Linked DNA regions of Macaca mulatta. The protein of the gene in region 1 purifies or fractionates together with the protein of each later gene. This does not show direct contact. Links are inferred from orthologs where the notes say so. Each region holds a gene or a part of one and is shown in the gene's direction. Other genes may lie near its edges. The genes, in order: RSRP1, CPSF6, C1QBP and PSME3.

Region 1 (5,064 bases):
CCATTATTTCTAAGTAGGTATTGAATTAGTTTAGGTGGTACTTTTAATATCAAGTATATGATTACTAATCCACAAGAGCTCTTTTGTATCATTTTGATTCCAAACTTATTAGATGACTTTGATATTTACAGCCTAGGAGTACTAACATTAGTAGAGAGACAAGTGATAAACTGTGGCTCTATGTGGAAGTACAGATTCAAATGAAAAATAATTCTCTAATTTACATATTTTATCACAGAACGTGTGTTTCTTCACACCTAAATTAAGAAATTAAACATTGCACTGCAGTTCTTACCTCTACCCACATCATTTCCCTTCACTTCATTCACTTCACTGTTTTTCTTTCTGCAAGCCTGCCTTTTGGTGTCATTTCTATGTAAAGAACATCCACTTGATTTTAATATCCCTATCTCTGATCCTAAAGGGTGTTTCCAGCCAAAAAAATGCACAAAATTGTGATTAATATTAATTCAGATTACAAAAATCCAACTATTTAAATATAGCAGACCCAAACTGTCTTTACAAATTACATAAAACACTCCTGTAAGCCGAGCTGTACAGACCTGACTTGAGACACAGCCATGTTATCTCTATTTCAGAGTATGAAAAAACCTGAAATACGTATAACTTGAGAACACCCTAATTCCTACAGCGAACTTGAGTCCCTTAAATTACTCTGCAGCCAGCAATTATAGTTGTCCAAAAATATGACACCCTAAAAAAGAGCAACGTCTCCCATTTTTAACTTCTTTCAAAAATTAAATATTAAAATACATGATTACAGCCAGTGCTAAGATGTCTTTGGGACAAGTTCAATTTAGGAAATTCACTCATTCGATTCTTCCCCGGGAAGAACTGCAATCCAGTGTTACTTTCGGTTCATCCCAATGGCCCCGCCCCGAATCCATTTTTCTTGCACGACGACTGGCACGCTCAAGCCAGACCCCGCCCTCCAAACTCTGGGAATTTTAGGTCTCGAGGGACGCGGCTGGAAGATGGGGGAGCCACCTTCAGCCCGGCCGCCCCTCGCTGAGGGAGCCGGACGGGCCACGCTCCTTTCTCGGAGCTTCGGCCTGTCCAGCTGTAAAGTGGGGGACCGGGGTATTTCCAAGAATCCTGGGATGTCCTGGGGGAGGGCGCGGTCCCGTCTCCGTCTTGGCGGGTCTGGACGCGGTCGCCTTCTCCAGGCGCCGCAGGACCCAGGAGAGGAGAGGTCTGCAGGGGCTCAGCCCCGGTCTGCGGCTTCCCGGAGGGTGGCGGCAACGAGCCTGTGCTGTAGGCACCAACCCGTCAGACGGTCCCGGCTCCGAGGCCTCTCCAGCCTTGAAGCCGCTCCTCTCCTGCCCCCATTCCCCGCCCGACACTTACGTCCAGCCCCGTCGTGCAGTGGTTCCGGAGCCCGGTGTAGCGCCGCGCGCAGCTGCCTCACTCCACCGGTTTCAGCCAAGAAAACAAAACGTCCACGGCCTCCAGACACCCGGATGCAGCAGTACCACCCCCGCGGCTCAGCCGCGCATGCGGACACGGGGCGGAGGGCGGGACGCCGGGTCCGGAGGGAGCCCCGCCCACCACGCCAACGCGTCTGCGCAGGCCCGGGCGCTCGCTGGCGGGGCTTTCCGCAGCTTTGGGATCACAGCTGGACGTCGGAAGTGCTAGCTTGGAGTACGCCCTTCGAGGGTAGGCGTGAGAAGTTGCTCTGTGTGCTGAGCTTTCTAAAGGAAGGTATCCGTTGGCCTTTGTACCCGTCTTGATTGAGGTGACGAGTGTTTTCTAGTACTGGGGTCGGCCCCCCAGCCGTCTCAGGTGTGGGTGGCAGGAAGAGTGCCGGGTCCCATGTGGTGCAAAAGTTGGGTTCCGGTTTGCAGCCACACAGCGCTACTCAGGACTTTTTAGTCTTGTTTATTTTCTCCGTGCCTGTTCCCGCCCCCTCGCGGTTCCACCTCTGGTAGAGGGGCGGGTTCAGCTCCAGGAGGCGGGGACTTCCCAGCTCGGTGTGGCTGGGGTGTCCCGTGGACCCCGGTCCCGGCGCGGTGACCCACTTATGGGACTTGGCCTTTCTTTGCTGTTTGTTTAAGGCAGGGTTTCTCAGCCTGGGCACTACTGACGTTTTGGGCCGGCTCATTCTGTCTGGGTTGGGAAGGGTAATGTCCCGTGCTGCTTAGAATGTGTAACTGCATCCCCCGTCTCTACCCGGTAGATGCAAGTAGCAGCCCCAGTGAACCAAAAATGTCCCCAGACTTTGCCAAATATCCTCCCCCTCGGGGAAGATCGCCTCGCTTGAGAACCACTGTTGGAGGAGAGCCTGGGTTTTCGGGAGGTGACCATTTACAAAGGGGAGGACGGTAAGAAGCCGGAAGCAATGATGTGTTAGCTACGTGAACGACTTGTGGCCGGGCTGGCCCCTCTTCTGGAAGCCGTCAGTTTGGGTCTCGCGTCTGGGATCGCCGTCGAGGAGTCAGATCCAGCCCCAGAGAGGGAGCAGGGTCGAGGTGTCGTTGCAGAAGGCGCCACCGGAGGAAGCACAGGGGCAACGTGCGGTCTTCCTAGCGGAGGCACTCGCGATCCTGCAGCCGCCGGTCCGGGAGGTGCTCGGTACCCCTCCGTGGTGCCTGTCCGGTAGCTGGTCACTCTCGGGGGAAGGTCGTGCTACAGAAGGGCATTATGCGATCACACAGAGACGGCGTTGCTGCGGCTTTGACCCTATGGTGCACCCGAAAGAACACAGAGGGTGGAGGGAGAGATCCAGGAAGAGGTCCCGGAGCAGAACCTCCTTTCACTTAAGTTAAAAAGGTGGGTCACTTGTTAAGAGCTACGCGCAGGTTCATCTGATTTACATGTACGGCGGCAGTATATGAATGGGATGGAAACCATGATGACTGTTGTTTCCTTTGATGGATGAAACTTATATCCCTTTGGGTTTTTTGTTTGTTTGTTTTCGGTGGGGGGGCATTAACCGATTAGTAGATAAAACTACATAGTATAATCTATATCCTATTTTTAAATGGACACGTTCTTACCACTCAGGAGGTTTATCGTGATTGTTTAATGTCTCAGGATGGAGGAATCTAGTGCAGGCAGTTCTTAATGAAACCTTTTAAATTCCTGTTAATGACTTAACATTAGTTTACCAGCTCTGAGCAGCTTTAAACAAACCTTGATTTCAGCTTTTAATAAGCTAATGACTGCGGGAGAAAAGATATTAACTCTCCTTTCTCTTTGTGTTTTTTGCCCCTACCCTTTTTTATCTTTACTGACCTTAACATGATTGTCAAATATTTATAAACATGAGTGAACATCTTTATATTACTCTCATTAATAAGATAAATGCTTAATTTGTCATTCTTTACGTTTTTGGGACTTAATGAATGTTTGTCTTTTGTAGATAAAATGGAGCTGCTAGAAATAGCAAAAGCCAGCCCAGCTAAATCTTTAGGAATAGCCAACCCTGACTTGCCAGATGGTCTCAGAACTGTTCCTATCGTTAAAGAAACAAACTGTGCAACAGCTGTACTATATGCCACAAAGTTCGAGGTAAGTACTTCAGGTGTATCCAAACAAAACCTTCCAAAAGATCTGGTTAAAATTTTTTATTTGATTTAACTTCTATACTTCTCAGAAAGGCTAAATATAATTTGTTAAAGTCAAAGTAGCAGATCTGGAAATAGTAAACAGGCTCTCACCCATGAAAATGGGAGGGGAATGAACTTTACTTTTGGTGAGCCTGGAACTGTCCCTGAAAGTCCCACATTCTAGGAAACTCCTGAGTGCAAAAAGTCCTGATTTTCAGCAATGAGTGAGGAAAGTTGGGGATGGGAGGAACACAAAAACTGTATAGTGCCTCCCCCCACCCAAAAAGAGACTGAAGACAACCCTTAAGTGAATATGGCTATGGTCTGCCTTCTGTTAACCTCTGAATTGGCAGCCATGACTTGTGGTTCACAATAATGGATCATCCATTGTTGCATCCTCTCAGAGCAATTTTAAGTTCTAACTATGTACAGTGTGAGTCCTAATCTTGAGTGTTAACAGTCTACTTAACTGTGTGCTTTGTATGTAGATAGACAGTAAACTTTGTGAATTGTGACCATGTTTTCTTAGAGTTCAGATAATGAAACTAATGACAAGTACAATACCAACACCAGTGTGACCTAGACAATACCAAAGCTGTTTAACATAAACGGCTATGTTATTTTAATGACAGATGGAAGGACACATACAGCTGGATTAGGGAGGTAAGTAACCCAAACAGAGCATACTGCACAATATGCAGAAAAGAATTTGCGGTTGGGCATGGTGGAGAAGGGGATGTGAAAAAACATACAGACATTGAATCTAACAAGTCTGGGATGAGACAATCACGTACTTTTGAATCAATTCAAAGTGTTTTCGTTTCCCAAAATGACACCAATGGTCAATTGAAAATAGCAGCTGCTAGTGGGGCACAGTGGCTCACACCTGTAATCCCAGCACTTTGGGAGGCTGAGGCAGGCAGATCACCGGAAGCCAGGAGTTCAAGACTAGCGTCTTCAACATGGTGAAACCTGATCTCTACTAAAAATACAAAAATTAGCTGGGTGTGGTGGCCGCTGCCTATAATCCTAGCTACTCAGGAGGCTGAGGCACAAGATCAGTTGAACCTGGGAGGCGGAAGTTGCAGTGAGCTAAGATTGCGCCAGTGCTACTGCACACCAGCTTGGGTGACAGAACAAGACTCTGTCTTAAAAAAAAAGAAAGTAAAAAAGGCTGGGCATGGTGACCCATACGTGTTATCCCAGCACTTTGGGTGGCTGAGGCGGGTGGATCACTTGAGGCCAGGAGTTTAAGACTAGCCTGGCCAACCTGGCAAAACCCTGTCTCTATCAAAAATACAAAAATTAGCCAGGCGTGGTGGTACACACCTGTAATCCCAGCTACCTACTGGGCAGGCTGAGGCACGAGAATCACATGAACCCAGGAGGCACAGGTTGCAGTGAGCCGAGATTGCACCACTGCACTCCAGCCAGAGTGAAACTTTGTCTCAGAAAAAAAAAAAAAAAAAAAAAAAGAAAGAGAAAATAGCAGCTG
Region 2 (5,219 bases), on another chromosome or scaffold:
CTCCCAGGCTCAAGTGATCCTTCCAACTCAGCCTCCCGAGTAGCTGGGACTACATGTGCACACCATTATGCCTGGCTAATTTTTTTATTTTTTTGTAGAGACAAGGTATCCCTATGTTGCCCAGGCTCGTCCCAAACTCATGGGCTCAAGCAATTTTCCCTCCATGGCGTCCCAAAGTTCTGAGATTACAGGCATGAGCCTCCATGCTGGCTGGAATGGTTTTTAATTGTATTGAAAGAAAATAAACTGCAATAGAAATCTTTGCATCTTCTCTGATTCTACTGCTTCCCTCTCTCACTTCTAAAGACCCTTGCAATTACTTTGAGCCTACTGGGCAATCAAGGTATCCCTATCTCTATCTCAAGATCCTTAACTTCATCATATCTGCAAAGGTAACATATTCACAGATTTCAGGGATAAGAATATGAACATCTATGGTGGGCCATCATTCTACCACACCACCAATCTAGAAAATGCTCTCATCTTTAAACTTCAGTGTCTCTTTTCTTCTATAACGCCCTATGAAAGAAAGTGAATCAGTATTTAAGTACTGATTCTTGGAACAGGACAGGGCACTTTGCATATTAACTCATATTAACTCATTTAAAGTATCACCAACCTTCAACCTTGGTGAGGTAGATATTATTGCCTGGATTTTAAAGATTCTGAGATTGATTATGAGAGTTGAAAACTTGACTGAGGTCATTTAGCTGATAAAATGTCTGATTAGAAATGGGTACCCAGATCTGGTCTCCATGACTGCAACCAAGCTTTTTCCACCATACCAAGTGCAGATTGAGTCTTTTTTATGCAAAATGCTTGGGACTGGAAGTGTTTGGATTTTGGATTTTGGTGGATTTTGGAATATTTGTGTATACATAAGATATCTAGGGGATGGGACCCAAGTCTAAACGAAATTCATTTATGTTTCACATACACCTTATACACATAGCCTGAAGATTATGTCATACAATATTTTTAGTTATTTTGAGTTTTGATTGCATTTTGACTGCAACCTGGCACATAAGATCAGGTGTGGAATTTTTCACTTGCGGCATCATGTCAGTGCACAAAAAGTTTCAGATTTTGGAGCGTTTCAAATTGTTGGATTAGAGATGCCCAACCTTACAGATGTTGTTTGGGTTATTCTATGGATGATTTCTCGCCAGTTTCTCAGGAAACACGCTCTACTATAGTATATTTCTTAATGAGTGAAAAAGAAATAAAGAACGGAGGGGAAAGTTTCAAACTGGAGAGACATCCTTGAGTAAAGTATCGTGGCTGAATGTTCCTACCTTTATTGACCATGTGACCTGGTTAAATCACTTAGGTTCTATTAGGCTTCAGTCTTCTCCTCTGTAAAATGAGATGTTTGGACCTAAGGACACCTTTCCAGTTCCCTTCCCGCTGGGACATTCTAGGATTCTGAGAAAGAAGCCCCTGGCCTCAAGAGACCTCCACTCTCTTGGGTGTGCTCTAAGATGACTGCATTCATTTTAGAAGCATCTGAACTATGCCAGAGACAACCTACTGTAGATCTAAGGAAGAAAAAATGAAGGGCAATGAATGCGAGAAGAAGGGGAGAGGAAAGAAGCCCATGAAGATTAGAGATGGAAATGGCAACATAAACAGCGTGCAAATATAACCACTGACGGGTATCTAGCGTTTACATGCAAATAAAATTCTGCTTGTCTCTGAGGATGCAGAAACAACACATTGTTTTTGGCCTTAAGCCGCTCACAGAATGCCCGGGGGTTACACTTTGTATTTAACCATGAACATATAACTTCCACCTTTAGAAGTCCTGCATGTGTGAAAGGTAAGAAAAACGGATAAATGAAAATATTAACAAAACGTTTGAGTATGGCAGAGGCCACGTGAAAAGACGATGTGTGGAAACAGGTGGGACCCACTGGTAAACTGGATGCGCGAGGAGGACAAAGAAATTGCCCCCCACTCCCGGGCCTCACCCAGACACAAAAGAAACGCCCTCTGCCCTTAGAGGAGCAGCCTTTCCTCAGCCAGCCGAGCGGCTGGGTTGCACAGTCCCCGCCCCCGGCCGGCCCCTGTCGCTCCCGCCTCCATCCCTCGGGCCTCGGAAGTGACGCAAGCGCCCCCCACCGCCGCTAGATCCGCTGCTGCTGCCGCGGCGGGCGGACCTGCAGGAGGAGGCGGCGGCGGCGGCGGCGGTGGCGGCCGAGGCTGAGGGAAGATGGCGGACGGCGTGGACCACATAGACATTTACGCGGATGTGGGCGAAGAGTTCAACCAGGTACGTGAGAGCCCGGGTCCCCGTCGCCCATGCGGGCGGCGCTGCGGCTGGGACGCTGACCCGGGGCCCGCTGCGGCCGCGAGCCGAAGCGACTGCAGACTATGCGCCCTTGCCGCCTCTGGGCCGCGCCGCCGACCCCCGGCGTGGCGGCCCCCCCCCCGCCCTTCGTTCTACCGCGTCGTTTCACGGGCCGCGGGCGCGGCGACCCGTCGCGGGGCCCGGAGCGCGGATGCGGGCGGCTGTGCAGCTGCCGCCGGCTCCTCCCTCGCCGGCGCTGCCTCGCTCCCTATTGTTGGCGGCACCCGGCTGGCGCTTCCCGCCGCGCTAGGCCCGGGCGGTGGGGCCGCGTGTAAGCGGCGGAGAGAACTGGCCACCGCCGCGCCCCCTCCCCCGTCGCCGGCCGGAGGAGGAAGCCCCGGCAGGGCGCGCGCCCGCCGCCGCCGCCCCTTCCCCGCCGCTGCCGCTCGGGCTCAGATTCCTCCCATTGCTCCATTTTGTCTCCCTACCCGCGCACTATCGCCTCATGGAAGGCCGCATTCACGGCCCTTTGTATCCCGCGCGCCCAGTCCCTGGGGCTCTCCTCGGGTTTGCGACAGGTTTCGGCGTGGCGCCTTCCTCCTCCCTTCACACTTTCTGAAGGCGGCTGAGGTGCAGGCTTGTTTGCAACAAGTCATTTGACTTTTGGAGCCACAGATAAAAGTCGGTGCGCTGGTCCTGCCTTGTTAATCCAGGGCTTGCAATGCCTTTGAAGCCCAGTCGTTTTTGGCCTTTGTTATGAAAATACCTGTGAAGATGGGTGGCCGGGGACCTAAAGGAAGATTGGAAGCGCGATGTTTGGATGGAACAAAAAGATGTTAGCTCACCCACAGGTCTCATAGTGATTAAAATGAAAGAACGTTCACCCCAAATCCTATGATGTGGTTTAAAAATAGAGTTGTAGATAAGACCCTGTTTTCGAAAACAAAGTGTTAAATCCCCCGGCCCTGCATTACCTTTTGAAAGGTTGAGCGAAAGTGAGAATGCAAGGTTTTCCTGAACGACGTTGCTTAGAGGTAACGCGGAGCTGTGATGTCTGATAATGGGCATCCTTGCAAAAGATGTCGTTTGTTGCTAGAGTAGTGACGTTTAAGGTTTGAACCTGCTGGTCGTATCTTTACTGCATTTTATGTAGTAACACATTTAAAACAAATTGTGCCTAACTGCCGTGTTCCTAAAAGCTTTATTTTTTTGTATTCCCCAGGTCCTTATGAGAAGCTTAATAAAATAATACTGGCTTAATGTGTTTTTTTCCCCCTCCATTAACTGTCATATTCGTGACTAGTTGCTCAGGCTTTTTAAAAACAAGGAAACTCAGGAGCTCTTTACTGTTTTATTTTTCAGGAATGACTTTGTTCTGGTTTAAATATTAGAAAACAGAAAACTACTAGTTGGCTTTAAATGTTTGCTACTCCGTTGAAGACTGGATTTGTTTAAATGTAATACATTGTAATGAAAGGTTAAGTTTTTAAATTTTTGTGTTTTTAAAATTGTGCTTGTTTTAAATAATAATGCTTGAATTGTGTCAGTTACAAATCAGATACATTCCTCGACTGCAACACAGATTCTAACGCTTATAAGACCTCTAGGAAATTTTTTTCCTTTTATTTATCAAGTGAATGTAACAGTGCGTTTAGAAGAGGGCCGTAACTGCAAGGAACAACGATTAAGTGTTCAAGGCTGCCCTTGTTAGCTTTTCTTACAAGAGAATACTTTGCTTCACCTTTCTATGCACAATAAAAGAAGAATTGGGACACAATTTTAGAAGTTAAACTTTTTTCAGTACCTCTTAATGAAATATGTTTGGGCTTTTGCATTCTTAATTTGAGAGGGACATCTCCCTTTTCCGGATAGCTGGGTGGATTGTTATCCCTGTGCAGTAACAAGTGCTGACTGGGTGGGAGGTAAGAAGAGATTAGTTTTGTGGACCCAATGAGGGACTCCTTTTAAATGTAACTTTTCAACGATTTGTATAAGGTACGTACCACATATCTAACACAGTTGTATAATTTTGCCAGTAAGATCTTTATATGTTTGAATAGATTGATGGCGAGGATACATAGAGGCATTGTTTTTGCTACTTTGCATATCGTTGGCCAATCAATGATTGATTGATTTGTATATCTTTTTGCAGTACCACTGCTTGCTGTGGTTGTTCCTGTACCAAAAAAAAAAAAAAAGTCACAAAAGGATAGTTGGTTATTTTCAGAGCTTATCCTGCTTTTAAAAATGTTACTGTCATTGAAATGTTTTTCCAAAATTTTGCCACCATTAGAGGCAACCACAAAATAATTTACAACTGATTTAATCTTTACTAGCTGGTGACCTTATTTCTACTAGTTGCTATAGTAGACTTGACCTCTTGTTTTATTGTTGAGTAAAATACTTTCCTAAGTATTAGCCAGTTTTGACTTATTTTGGCTTCAAAACTGTTGTAAACATTAAAAAAAAACTTTGTTTTCCAGTGTAAACTGCAGTTCTAATTGGATTTGTGTACTTTGAAATTCGGCATAGTCTTTATTTCCATTTTCTACTATTTTTTTGTCTGTATCCTGCTGAGTCTCATATTTTAAATGTCATACTTTTATGAAGCTTGTTTGTATTTTGGTAAGGTACAATATTGTTTCAAAACGTGATTTGCATCTATTGAAGTAGAAAAAAGTGAGGCATTCAACAGTCTTAGCAGAAACTAATTTGTTTGGGGATAGATTGAGAATAATAATTTAGTGAAGCTCTAATAGAGTTCTTTTCTTCACCAGGTGAACTTAAGAATGGAGAATGAAGGGGGAGGAGGCACAAGGGACTGACTAATCCTTATGGGTTCTCTTTAATTCTTAGAGGTCTTTGGATGTCACCAAGTTGAGAACAGTTGGAAGGGCAATTTGAACGTCTTCCAAACCTCCATATTACT
Region 3 (5,040 bases), on another chromosome or scaffold:
TCTGGGTTCTATGAATTTAGTGGAGCAGCTCACAGAACTCAGGGAAACACTTTTACCAGTTTCGTATAAAAGATATGACCAAGGATACAGATGGAGATGAGCAGGGTGGGGAATAGGGAAGAAGCTCCGAGCTGCCACGCCCTCCCTGGGCCACCACCCTCCAGGAACCTCCGCGTATTCAGCTATCAGAGGCTCTCCAAACCCTGTCCTTGGGTTTTTATGGAAGCTTCTGGACCTATCTAAATGATACAAGCCGGCTTCTTGTCCCCAGAAAAATGATGTTCCATTAGAACTTGGATGCAGGGTCGGAGGTGCAGAGAGGGAAGGTCACAGAAATTACTCATGGATCCTGCCCTTCAGGATGTCACAGTCTGGTTGGGTTTAACCCGGTTAAAACCAGCAATGCCAGGAGGTTTCTGTTGAAAAGAGAATGAAGCCTAAGGGCTGGGTGCGCACAAGCATGAGTTCTAAGCCGATGGAAAAAAGGAGGTTCTAGGAAGGCCTCTTTCAGGAAAACCCTGACTTCTTCCTTTGCTCTTACAACAATCAGCACAGAAGAGTTCTGTGACCAAAGGTTTGGGTTTTTTCCCTCCACACTAAGCAGCAGACACGAGCGGGGTGTCCTCCAATTCAATCCCAACATTATCTACCTGGAGACAGTGTCAGATCCCATGAGACAGTGTCAGATCCCATAGGTTGAGGGCTCAGTCCCCAAGACCGCCCCGACCTTCAGACAGCAATGGCAAGTCTGGGCCTCTGAAACTTCCGACCAGCCCGCTTCAAGTGGGGGTTCCCACGACCCCCCTCTTTGGGTTGTATTAACTCACTGGAGCAGCTCACAGAACTCAGGGAAACACTTTTACCGGTTTCATATAAAGGATATTACCAAGGATACAGATGAGATGAGCAGGGTGGGCAGTGGGGAAGAAGCTCCGAGCTTCCTCGCCGTCCCTGGGCCACCACCCTCCAGGAACCTCCACGTATTCAGCTATCAGAGGTTCTGCAAACCCTGTCCTCATGGGTTTTTATGGAAGCTTCTGGACATCAGCATCCCTTCCCCCAGGGTAGAGGGTGGGACCTTCTCTGGGAAGGGACTTAAGACCCATAATCAGAAATGTGGGAGATTAGAGTCCTGCATTGGGGCGGGTGAAAGGAGGGCGGGAGAAGGGGAGAGTGAGAGTCTGTTTCCTGAGGCCTAACACACCCAACATTATCACAGAACACTGTAACGAGGGCTATGGGAGTTACGACCCAGGAACTGGGGATGAAAACCAATAAATACATAATATAACACCACAGCCTCCTAGAGGAAAGTGACCGTGTAAGGGGCTGGTGAGAGCTGGGGGAAGACAAGAGTGCATTCCACACAGCCCAAAAGCCTGGCGTGCCTTGAAAACAGTAGGTGGAAGCGGCCACTAGAAATAATTAAACAGCTTCGGACAGAGGACTCAGGCCAGCGCAGCAAGAAGGCTCCGGAAACCGGATTCGAGGCTTCCCGGGCTGCACAGGAGGCCTCCAGCAGAAGGCGCGATTCCGCCTGGGGCCTTAGGTCCTCAGTGCGCCGGCGCGGGAAGCGCTTCCGGGCAAGGGCGGGGCTTCCGGCGGCGCTTTAGGTCGCGGGGTACTTGGGCCTGGGTTGTCCTTTGCATCTGCACGTGTTCGCAGTGGATTGCGCGATGCTACCTCTGCTGCGCTGCGTGCCTCGTGTGCTGGGCTCCGCCGTCCCCAGCCTCCGCGCTGCCGCGCCCGCCTCGCCTTTCCGGCAGCTCCTGCAGCCGGCGCCCCGGCTGTGCGCCCGGCCCTTCGGGCTGCTCAGCGTGCGCACAGGTTCCGAGCGGCGGCCGGGCCTCCTGCGGCCTCGAGGACCCTGCGCCTGTGGCTGTGGCTGCGGCTTGCTGCACACTGAAGGTGAGGTTCGCGCACGCGGGCCAGGGGTGTGGTTTGCGGTTCACGGAGGGGAAAAGACCAGGAGTGGGGCCTGCAACCGACCTCCGAGGTCTGGGACATTTTTCCATTGATTGGCAACCAGCGGGTTAAACCCACGTGTGATCATATTCCCCCCACCTCCCCTATCCACCAGTTTCATTTTCTGTTGGTAGGGGGGTGAATAAAATTAAATACTAGAGGGTACCTTCATCCTTAGTCTTATTCTCTCGAAAGTGGACTTTTGGGAAAGCCCAAGGTCGTGTTTGAAAATAGCATACGATACAACTATCGTTTGGCAAGTGGAAGAGGATGATCGGAAATTCTTCTGCTTTATAGCGGAAAGTGGTAATGCGTTCATTGTTGGAAATCACTTTTCCAGCATCAGGCTCAGCTTCCCACTAATATTATGGTATTTTTACAGATAAGGAAACTGAGGCTTCTAGAGTAACTGTAATAGCAGAGAGATTAGAAATAGTCCAGGTTTCTGGCTGCGATAACCAGGGTAATAGTTTTATGTTTTAGACTAACTGGCTTTCCTTTTTATGTATATGGATTTCTTTTCTAGGAGACAAAGCTTTTGTTGATTTCCTGAAGGATGAAATTGAGGAGGAAAGAAAAATCCAGAAGCATAAAACCCTCCCTAAGATGTCTGGAGGTTGGGAGCTGGAACTGAATGGGACAGAAGCGAAATTAGTGCGGAAAGTTGCCGGGGAAAAGTAAGTACTGGTCTGGGGATCCCAGGGCACCGACTCCCTTAACCTTGCAAGACCCGTCCTGAGTCATCCCTAGAAGAGCCTTGAGTTCAGGTGTGGATAAATGGTTTTCAAGAGAGTGAAGGATTCAATTGGACAGCTTCATAAGGTCCAGGCAGTCCATTCACTGAACACAAATTTGCTGTGGGCTGGTTACTAAGGAGACAAAAATGTAGCGCAAAAAAGTACTGACAGAATCTGTTTGATCTCTGATTTACAGCCCTGATACAGTAGCACCCTGCTCTCTGTAATGTTTAGCTTGGGTGAAAATGCAAGGCATGTAACTTATATGTAACAGGATGGGGTTCCACTGTAGATAAGGGCTGCCATCAGAGGCGGGGAGTTTGTGACCTAAGTCAGGTGCCCCACCTTCTCCTAAACTGTTAGTGTTTACACTTTTCTGCTTTATAGTCATCCATAATCTCATTACACAGATAAACATTTGTCATCTTCCAGATTTTTAAATTGAGGCTGGGTGCAGTGGCTCACGCCTATAATCCCAGCACTTTGGGAGGCAGAGACGGCAGATCATGAGGTCAGGAGATCGAGAACATCCTGGCTAACACTGAAACCCTGTCTCTACTAAAAATTTTAACAGGGTGTGGTGGCAAGCACCTGTAGTCCCAGCTACTCAGGAGGCTGAGGCAGGAGAATCGCTTGAACCCCCGGGTTTCAGTGAGCCGAGATGGCGCCACTGTACTCCAGCCTGAGGGACAGAGCAAGACTCCATCTCAAAAAAATAATAAATAAATAAATAAATTGAATTTTCTTTATAATTGACCTTATGATGTATATATAATTCTTTTTTAAAATCACAGCTTTAATGTGATTTAATTTATATGGCATAAAATTTACCCATTTATTGAAGTTTATTAAATTAAGTGGTTCTTAGTCCTCACAGAATTATGCATCGGTTACCACTACCTAATTCTAGAACATTGTTGTCAATCCCCAAACAATACCTATTAGCAGTCACTCATTATTCCTCCCTCTAGCCACCCCAGGTAATCACTAAGCTACTTTATGGATTGCCTCTTTTGGACATTTCATATAAATGGAATCATACAATTTGTAGCTTCCTCCCCACCCCACGGAGTCTTGCTATTACCCAGGATGGAGTGCAGTGGCACGATCTTGGCTCACTGCAGCCTCTGCCTCCCGGATTCGGACAATTCTCCTGCTTCAGCCTCCTGAGTAGCTGAGATTACAGGCATGCGTCCAGTTAATTTTTGTATTTTTAGTAGAGATGGGGTTTCGCCATGTTGGCCAGGCTGGTCTCAAACTCCTGACCTCGTGATCCGCCCTCCTCGGTCTCCCAGAGTGCTGTGATTACAGGTGTGAGCCACCCTGCCCAGCCTGTTTACATTTTTAATTGTTGGGTTGTAAGAGTTCTTTAGTTTTGACCGGGCACGGTGGCTCACACCTTTAATCCCAGCACTTTGGGAGGCCGAGGCAGGTGGATCACAAGGTCAGGAGATCAAGACCATCCTGGGTAATGCAGTGAAACCCTGTCTCTACTAAAAGTACAAAAAATTAGCCAGGTGTAGTGGCGGGCGCCTGTAGTCCCAGCTACTCAGGAGGCTGAGGCAGGAGAATGGCATGAAGCCCAGAGGCAGAGGTTGCAGTGAGCCGAGATCACGTCACTGCACTCCAGCCTGGGCGACAGAGTGAGACTCTGTCTCAAAAAAAAAAGAATTCTTTAGTTTTTCTGGGTATAGTGATCTTACCAAATTAATGATTTGCAAGTATTGTTCCCCATCTTGTGGGTTTTCTTTTCACTTTCTTTGTAATGCCCTCTGACACAAAAGTTTCTGATTTTGAGGAAGTTCAGTTTACCTATTTTTTTGGTTGCTTGTGCTTTTTTTAGTGTCACATCTAAGAAACCACTGCCTCGCCCAAGGTTGTGAAGATTTATGCCTTAATTTTTTCAGAGTTTTCTAGTTTTAGCTCTTAGTTGAGGTCTGTGATTCATTTTGAGTATGATGTGAAGTAGGGTACCAATTCTCTTGGCTATTGTGTAGTGTGGTTTTTCCCTACACAGGTCAATTGTGTCTTCTGTAATCTCACCTAAAAACCATTTGCACAAGGTTTTCATAGCTATTTGGGGGCCATTAAAAATAATGCTCTGACGAACATCATTCCATTTCTGTGCCCAGGAGCTCAGCTTGGTCAGCACAGTTGGAATCAGACAGATTGTGTCAACCTCAGACTGCCTCTGTTACTATGGAAAGGTGACTTCCTGGCAAAGCAGCTAGTTAGCACAAGTCGAGGGGGCGGTACTTCATGGAACTTGTATGGAACGGTGCCTGCCAGAGTTGCATAGTCCAGCAGTTCTGGTTCTAAACTTTATCTCCCAGGAATT
Region 4 (4,990 bases), on another chromosome or scaffold:
GAATGAAAATAATTACTGTAATTTAAGGACTAACCTCTTCATGCTAAGCGTTAACAGATCAGTTACTTATCTGACAGTGGCTACTATTTATTTTGTATCTAAGCACTGTGCTAATTGTTTTACATATATTATTTCTAATATTCACAACACTACAATATTACATACTATTATTTATTACTAATTATTAAAATTCCATTTTACAGATGAGGGAATTGACTCAGGATTTCAATAATTTGCCCAAGATTCCAGTTAGTAAGGAGCTGAGGTGGGATTTGAGGCACAGGTCTCTGATTCCAAAGGCCATAGTCAGTCTTTTGTGCTTTACTCCATTTAATTGTGTATTCCCCTCATTCTCCTAGCACTTAGTAGAGAGGCCAGTCTAGGATAAATGTTCAACAGCAAGAGCGACCCCAAAATATAAATCTGATGACCTCTTTTTGCACTTAATCTAGATTGTTTACTAACAACCCTCCTCACCCCCAGCTCACCAGTCTTTGTCTTCAAGACAGTCTCTTTCCTTCCCTAGAGCATTTGCTGCACTTATACGTCTCAAGGCTCTTCTCACTCTTTCCATGCTAACCCCTTTATGTCCTTTAGATCGCAGCTTGTCTCTTGTTCAGAGGCCTTCCTTGGCCATTCGATCTAAAATAGATCTCTGGTATTTTCTATGTCATACACTTGTTTCCTAATATTTATCAAATTTTGCAGTTACTTTGTCAGTTTACTTTCTGGTGTTTTTCCAATATTATGCCCCATGAGACCAGCAACCTTGAATCTTGTTTGCCTTTGATTTCCCAGAGCTGTGCTGTTCAATACAGAAGCCAGCAGCCACATGTGGCTACTGAGCACTGTACTGTAAATGTGTTATTTTCTTATTGAGATGTGCAGTTAAGTGTAAAATATGCACTGGATTTTGAAGACTTGGTATGAGAAAAGAATGCATAAGATCTCGATTTTTTAATGTTGATTACATGTTGAAGGACTTGGATAAATTGGGTTAAATATATGACTAAAATTTTCACTTATTTTACTTTTTAATTGTGGCTAATAGAAGATTTCAACCTACATATGTAACTCACATATTTCTAGAATCTGAGACAGTGCCCTGGCCCATTTTATTGAATGAAATATCCAATGTCGAGAGAGAGATCGAATGAATGGGTGTATGAAGAGGTATAGTCTTAAGCTTCCATTAGGCAAATAGATACAGCACTGCCATAGAAGTTAGGAGATCTGGGTCCTGGCTCAGGATGTACTGGAAACGCCTTGGACAAGTCTTGCCCTACTCTGGGCATCAATTTGCCCATTAGGTAGTTGATCTTTGAGGTCCGGAAGCTTACGACAGTCAGTTGGCAGGGAAATGTACCAGGAAAGCTTGGTACAACCGCACTTGTGTTTTTCGCTCTAGCCTAAACACTTGAGCCTCGGCAAACGGGCAGAGGCAGCGGGAATCAGGGACTACACCCCCGAACCCAGTACCCGGGTCCCCGACTTCCCCGAGCCTACGTCACTGGGGCGCGACGGCGCTGTCCCCGGGACTGCAGCGACTGAGGTCCCTTCGGTGAAGGCGAGTTCCGGGCCAACAGAGAGGGTCGCACCGTTTCCGAGTCTTTCGGAGGCTCAGTTCTCAGCGCACCATTCCCCACAGCTCTCCTTTTTACTTCACCCCTACCCAACACTTTACCCCGGGGAGCATCCAAACCCGAGTCTCATCGCGGCTGCGCAGCGCACGTGCACAGCCTCGCAGGAGTCTCGGCGATTGGCTGTGACGCAGTTTCCGGCGTGAGCGGCGAAAGCCGGGAGGGCGAGCGAGAGAGCGACCAGGCAGCAGGCTGCCGGCGGGCGGGCGGACGGCACGGAGGGAGGGAGCAAGCGAGCAGTGAGTGAGCCAGCGAGGGCGGCCGGGTCCCGAGGTCAGCCGAGATTTCTCAGGTCCCTCCGGCCCCCTCCCTGGAGTCCACAGCGCCTCCGGTGTCCAGCGGATCGGACACGGCCCGGCCCGGCCATGGCCTCGTTGCTGAAGGTGGATCAGGAAGTGAAGCTCAAGGTAGCGGCACCGGTCCGGCCTTTTTGCCCCTCGCTTTGATCCCCCAGCAGTCTGACTGGCTTCCTACTCCCCATGTCGTCTTTGTCTCCCTGGGGATACCAGCTCTGAGCTTCCGCTCAACTCAGCCCAGCCCCCAACTCCCGGGGTCGGCTTCGCGGGAGAGGAAAATATAGGATGGCTTTCTGTACCGCGTCTGATGATGGAGAGTCCCGGGGACACCTCCGCGGACACGTGTTGGACTCAGGGCTTTAGGCCAGTGACAGCTGGAAATCCCCCAGCCCAACAACGTCCCTGGACACTGCCTCTGCCCTTGGTGGCTGGCCTGCCTGGTATCATAGGCCAGGTCTGGGTGGGGGTTGGCACGTTTGTGAGCTCACATCTTTCCTAACTACCTGTCTTTTGTCTGCTTATCAAATTCAGACAGCTTCAGACACAGGAGGGAGGGAGGGGAGAGGAGAGAGGAGACAGGCAGGTGCTGCCCTCAAAGCCCTGCTTTCTTCTCCTGAGATGGAAAAATGGATCCTCAAAAAAATAAAGTATTTGCAGTCTGGGGGCCTCTCAGCTTCTTATTACAGTTACAAGGTGAGGGAAAGACAGTTGGATTTGGGATTCTCTATCCTGCTCTTACCTCTGTCTCCAGGTACTGAATTGCTCTCTTTGTTAATTTTAGGTTGATTCTTTCAGGGAACGCATCACAAGTGAGGTGAGTGAAATAAATAGAAAAATGAGTGTTGGTTGAGAGTTTCCCAAAGAGGAGATATCTGTAGAGAGAGAGAGAGAGACCTTCCCACAGATATTAATTCAGCTATATTTTCCCTCCTCCTTAGGCAGAAGACTTGGTGGCAAATTTTTTCCCAAAGAAGTTGTTAGAACTTGATAGTTTTCTGAAGGTGAGAGACCCTTTTCTTTCCTCAAATTCCCCTATTTTTTTGGCCCTGGTATTACTGTCAACTGGAACTAATTGTGTGTTGATTCTTCTTTTTATTTTTTTAAACTGTAAAAGCGCTTTCATTTCTTGCTCTTCAATCAAATACTTCTTTGTTCAGCTTGAAAAGATTAATGTTTTGGGGTGGGTGTCTTTCAGGAACCAATTTTAAACATCCATGACCTAACTCAGATCCACTCTGACATGAATCTCCCAGTCCCTGACCCCATTCTTCTCACCAATAGCCATGATGGACTGGATGGTGTAAGTGTCCTATATTTATCTTTGTGTTCTTGAGCAGTAGGTCCTCTGTCCTCTGTTTCCTTGTCAGTTTAAGATGTACAGAGGCAACAGTGGGATTTGGATCTGGGAACTAGGACTGTTACAGACATGATGACTCTAGTATAGTTGTTTTATTTCTTATTTATTTATTTATTTTTGAGAAAGGGCGTCACTTTTTTTTGCCCAAGCTGGAGTGTAGTGGCGTGAGCACTGCTCACTGCAGCCTGGACCTCCCAAACTTAAGTGACCCTCCCTCCTCAGCCCGCCAAGTAGCTGATACTACAGGAGTGTGCCACCATGCCCAGCTGATTTTTGTATTTTTTGTAGAGACAGGGTTTCACCATGTTGCCGAGGCTGGTCTCAAACCACTGAGCTCAAGTAATCCACCCGCCTCAGCCTCCCAAAATGCTGGGATTACAGGCGTGAGTCACTGCACGAGGCCTCCGGTATATTCCTTTTAGACCCTGAGTTTCATTTACGATGTGAAGTGAATGTGCTAATGCTACTCTCAGTGTTAGAGTGAGTTTCAAATAAAAGAGAACTAGCTTTGGCCAGGCGCGGTGGCTCACACCTGTAATCCCAGCACTTTGGGAGACTCAGGTGGTTGGATCACGAGGTCAGGAGATGGAGACCATCCTTGCTAACATGGTGAAACCCCATCTCTACTAAAAATACAAAAAATTAGCTGGGCGTGGTTGTGGGCGCCTGTAGTCCCAGCTACTCGGGAGGCTGAGGCAGGAGAGTGGCATGAACCCAGGAGGCGGAGCTTATAGTGAGCCGAGATAATGACACTGCACTCCAGCCTGGGCAACAGAGCGAGACTCTGTCTCAAAAAAAAAAAAAAAAAAGGAGAGAACTAGCTTCATCAGGTTACCTGGTTTTTCCCATGGTTCTGAACAAGACTTAACTTTGTTTCTGTGTCTTGATAAGTGTTATGGGATATGAAGTTCTTGCTGTGTAACTGCAATCGCTGTTTTGCTGTACATCTTTAACAGCTAGTCCTTATCAGTCATGTGTCCGCATGCTACTATAACACTGATGATACTGAATTGTTGTCTGTAGTACCGCCTCATTGACAGAACTTGTACGTCTGGAAGGCAAGAACTACCTTTTTTTTTTTTTTTTTTTTTTTGAGACAGTCTCACTCTGTTTCCTAGGCTGGGGTGCAGTTGCGCGATCTCAGCTTCCTGCAACCTCCCCCTCCCGGTTTCAAGTGATTCTCCCACCTCAGCCTCCATGTAGCTGAGATTACAGATGCGCGCCACCAAGCCCAGCCAATTTTTAAATTTTTAGTGGAGACAGGGTTTCACCATGTTGTCCAGACTGATCTCGAACTCCTGACCTCAGGTGATCCACCCGCCTCAGCCTCCCAAAGTGCTGGGATTACAGGCGTGAGCCACCGTAGTCGGTCGGCAGGAACTATCTTAATCTTTGTATTCCCAGCACCTAGTGTTGATCCTGGTCCATAGCAATTGCTGAATGCATGGTTGTTGACTGAATAATGTGTTCCTTTGTGGAACCAGAAGATTTGTACGTATTCCCTTAATTATCTTCCCTGCTTTGATAGGTTCTTTTTTCCTATTCCTTGTAATACTTAATATGTTGTATTTCTGGAAAGATTGGTCTTCCCAACTACAGCATAATTTGCTTTGTGGCAAGAACCTTTTCTTTCTTTTTCTGAGGGGGGACAGAGTCTCACTCTGTCACCCAGGTTGGAGTGCAGTGGCACAATCTCA

What was found.
Region 2: the proteins of RSRP1 (region 1) and CPSF6 purify together in Homo sapiens (affinity purification with mass spectrometry; 3 studies listed by BioGRID and IntAct, with this or other methods). This does not show direct contact. The link is inferred for Macaca mulatta from reciprocal best matches to the Homo sapiens genes RSRP1 and CPSF6.
Region 3: the proteins of RSRP1 (region 1) and C1QBP purify together in Homo sapiens (affinity purification with mass spectrometry; 3 studies listed by BioGRID and IntAct, counting the BioPlex papers as one, with this or other methods). This does not show direct contact. The link is inferred for Macaca mulatta from reciprocal best matches to the Homo sapiens genes RSRP1 and C1QBP.
Region 4: the proteins of RSRP1 (region 1) and PSME3 purify together in Homo sapiens (affinity purification with mass spectrometry; 3 studies listed by BioGRID and IntAct, counting the BioPlex papers as one, with this or other methods). This does not show direct contact. The link is inferred for Macaca mulatta from reciprocal best matches to the Homo sapiens genes RSRP1 and PSME3.

The regions. Positions count from the first base shown.
Region 1 is NC_133406.1:215,691,840-215,696,903, forward strand, and holds the start of RSRP1 (arginine/serine-rich protein 1), read left to right. Parts: upstream 1-1,580; 5' UTR 1,581-2,790; intron 2,791-5,064.
Region 2 is NC_133416.1:76,356,396-76,361,614, forward strand, and holds the start of CPSF6 (cleavage and polyadenylation specificity factor subunit 6), read left to right. Parts: upstream 1-2,128; 5' UTR 2,129-2,212; coding exon 2,213-2,272; intron 2,273-5,219. UniProt on the Homo sapiens protein: Component of the cleavage factor Im (CFIm) complex that functions as an activator of the pre-mRNA 3'-end cleavage and polyadenylation processing required for the maturation of pre-mRNA into functional mRNAs.
Region 3 is NC_133421.1:6,939,003-6,944,042, reverse strand, and holds the start of C1QBP (complement component 1 Q subcomponent-binding protein, mitochondrial), read left to right. Parts: upstream 1-1,623; 5' UTR 1,624-1,676; coding exon 1,677-1,908; intron 1,909-2,491; coding exon 2,492-2,642; intron 2,643-5,040.
Region 4 is NC_133421.1:67,182,895-67,187,884, forward strand, and holds the start of PSME3 (proteasome activator complex subunit 3), read left to right. Parts: upstream 1-1,770; 5' UTR 1,771-2,005; coding exon 2,006-2,047; exon of another isoform or gene 2,048-2,554; coding exon of another isoform or gene 2,555-2,629; intron 2,630-2,717; coding exon 2,718-2,750; intron 2,751-2,840; exon of another isoform or gene 2,841-2,874; coding exon 2,875-2,937; intron 2,938-3,131; coding exon 3,132-3,236; intron 3,237-4,990. UniProt on the Homo sapiens protein: Subunit of the 11S REG-gamma (also called PA28-gamma) proteasome regulator, a doughnut-shaped homoheptamer which associates with the proteasome. 11S REG-gamma activates the trypsin-like catalytic subunit of the proteasome but inhibits the chymotrypsin-like and postglutamyl-preferring (PGPH) subunits.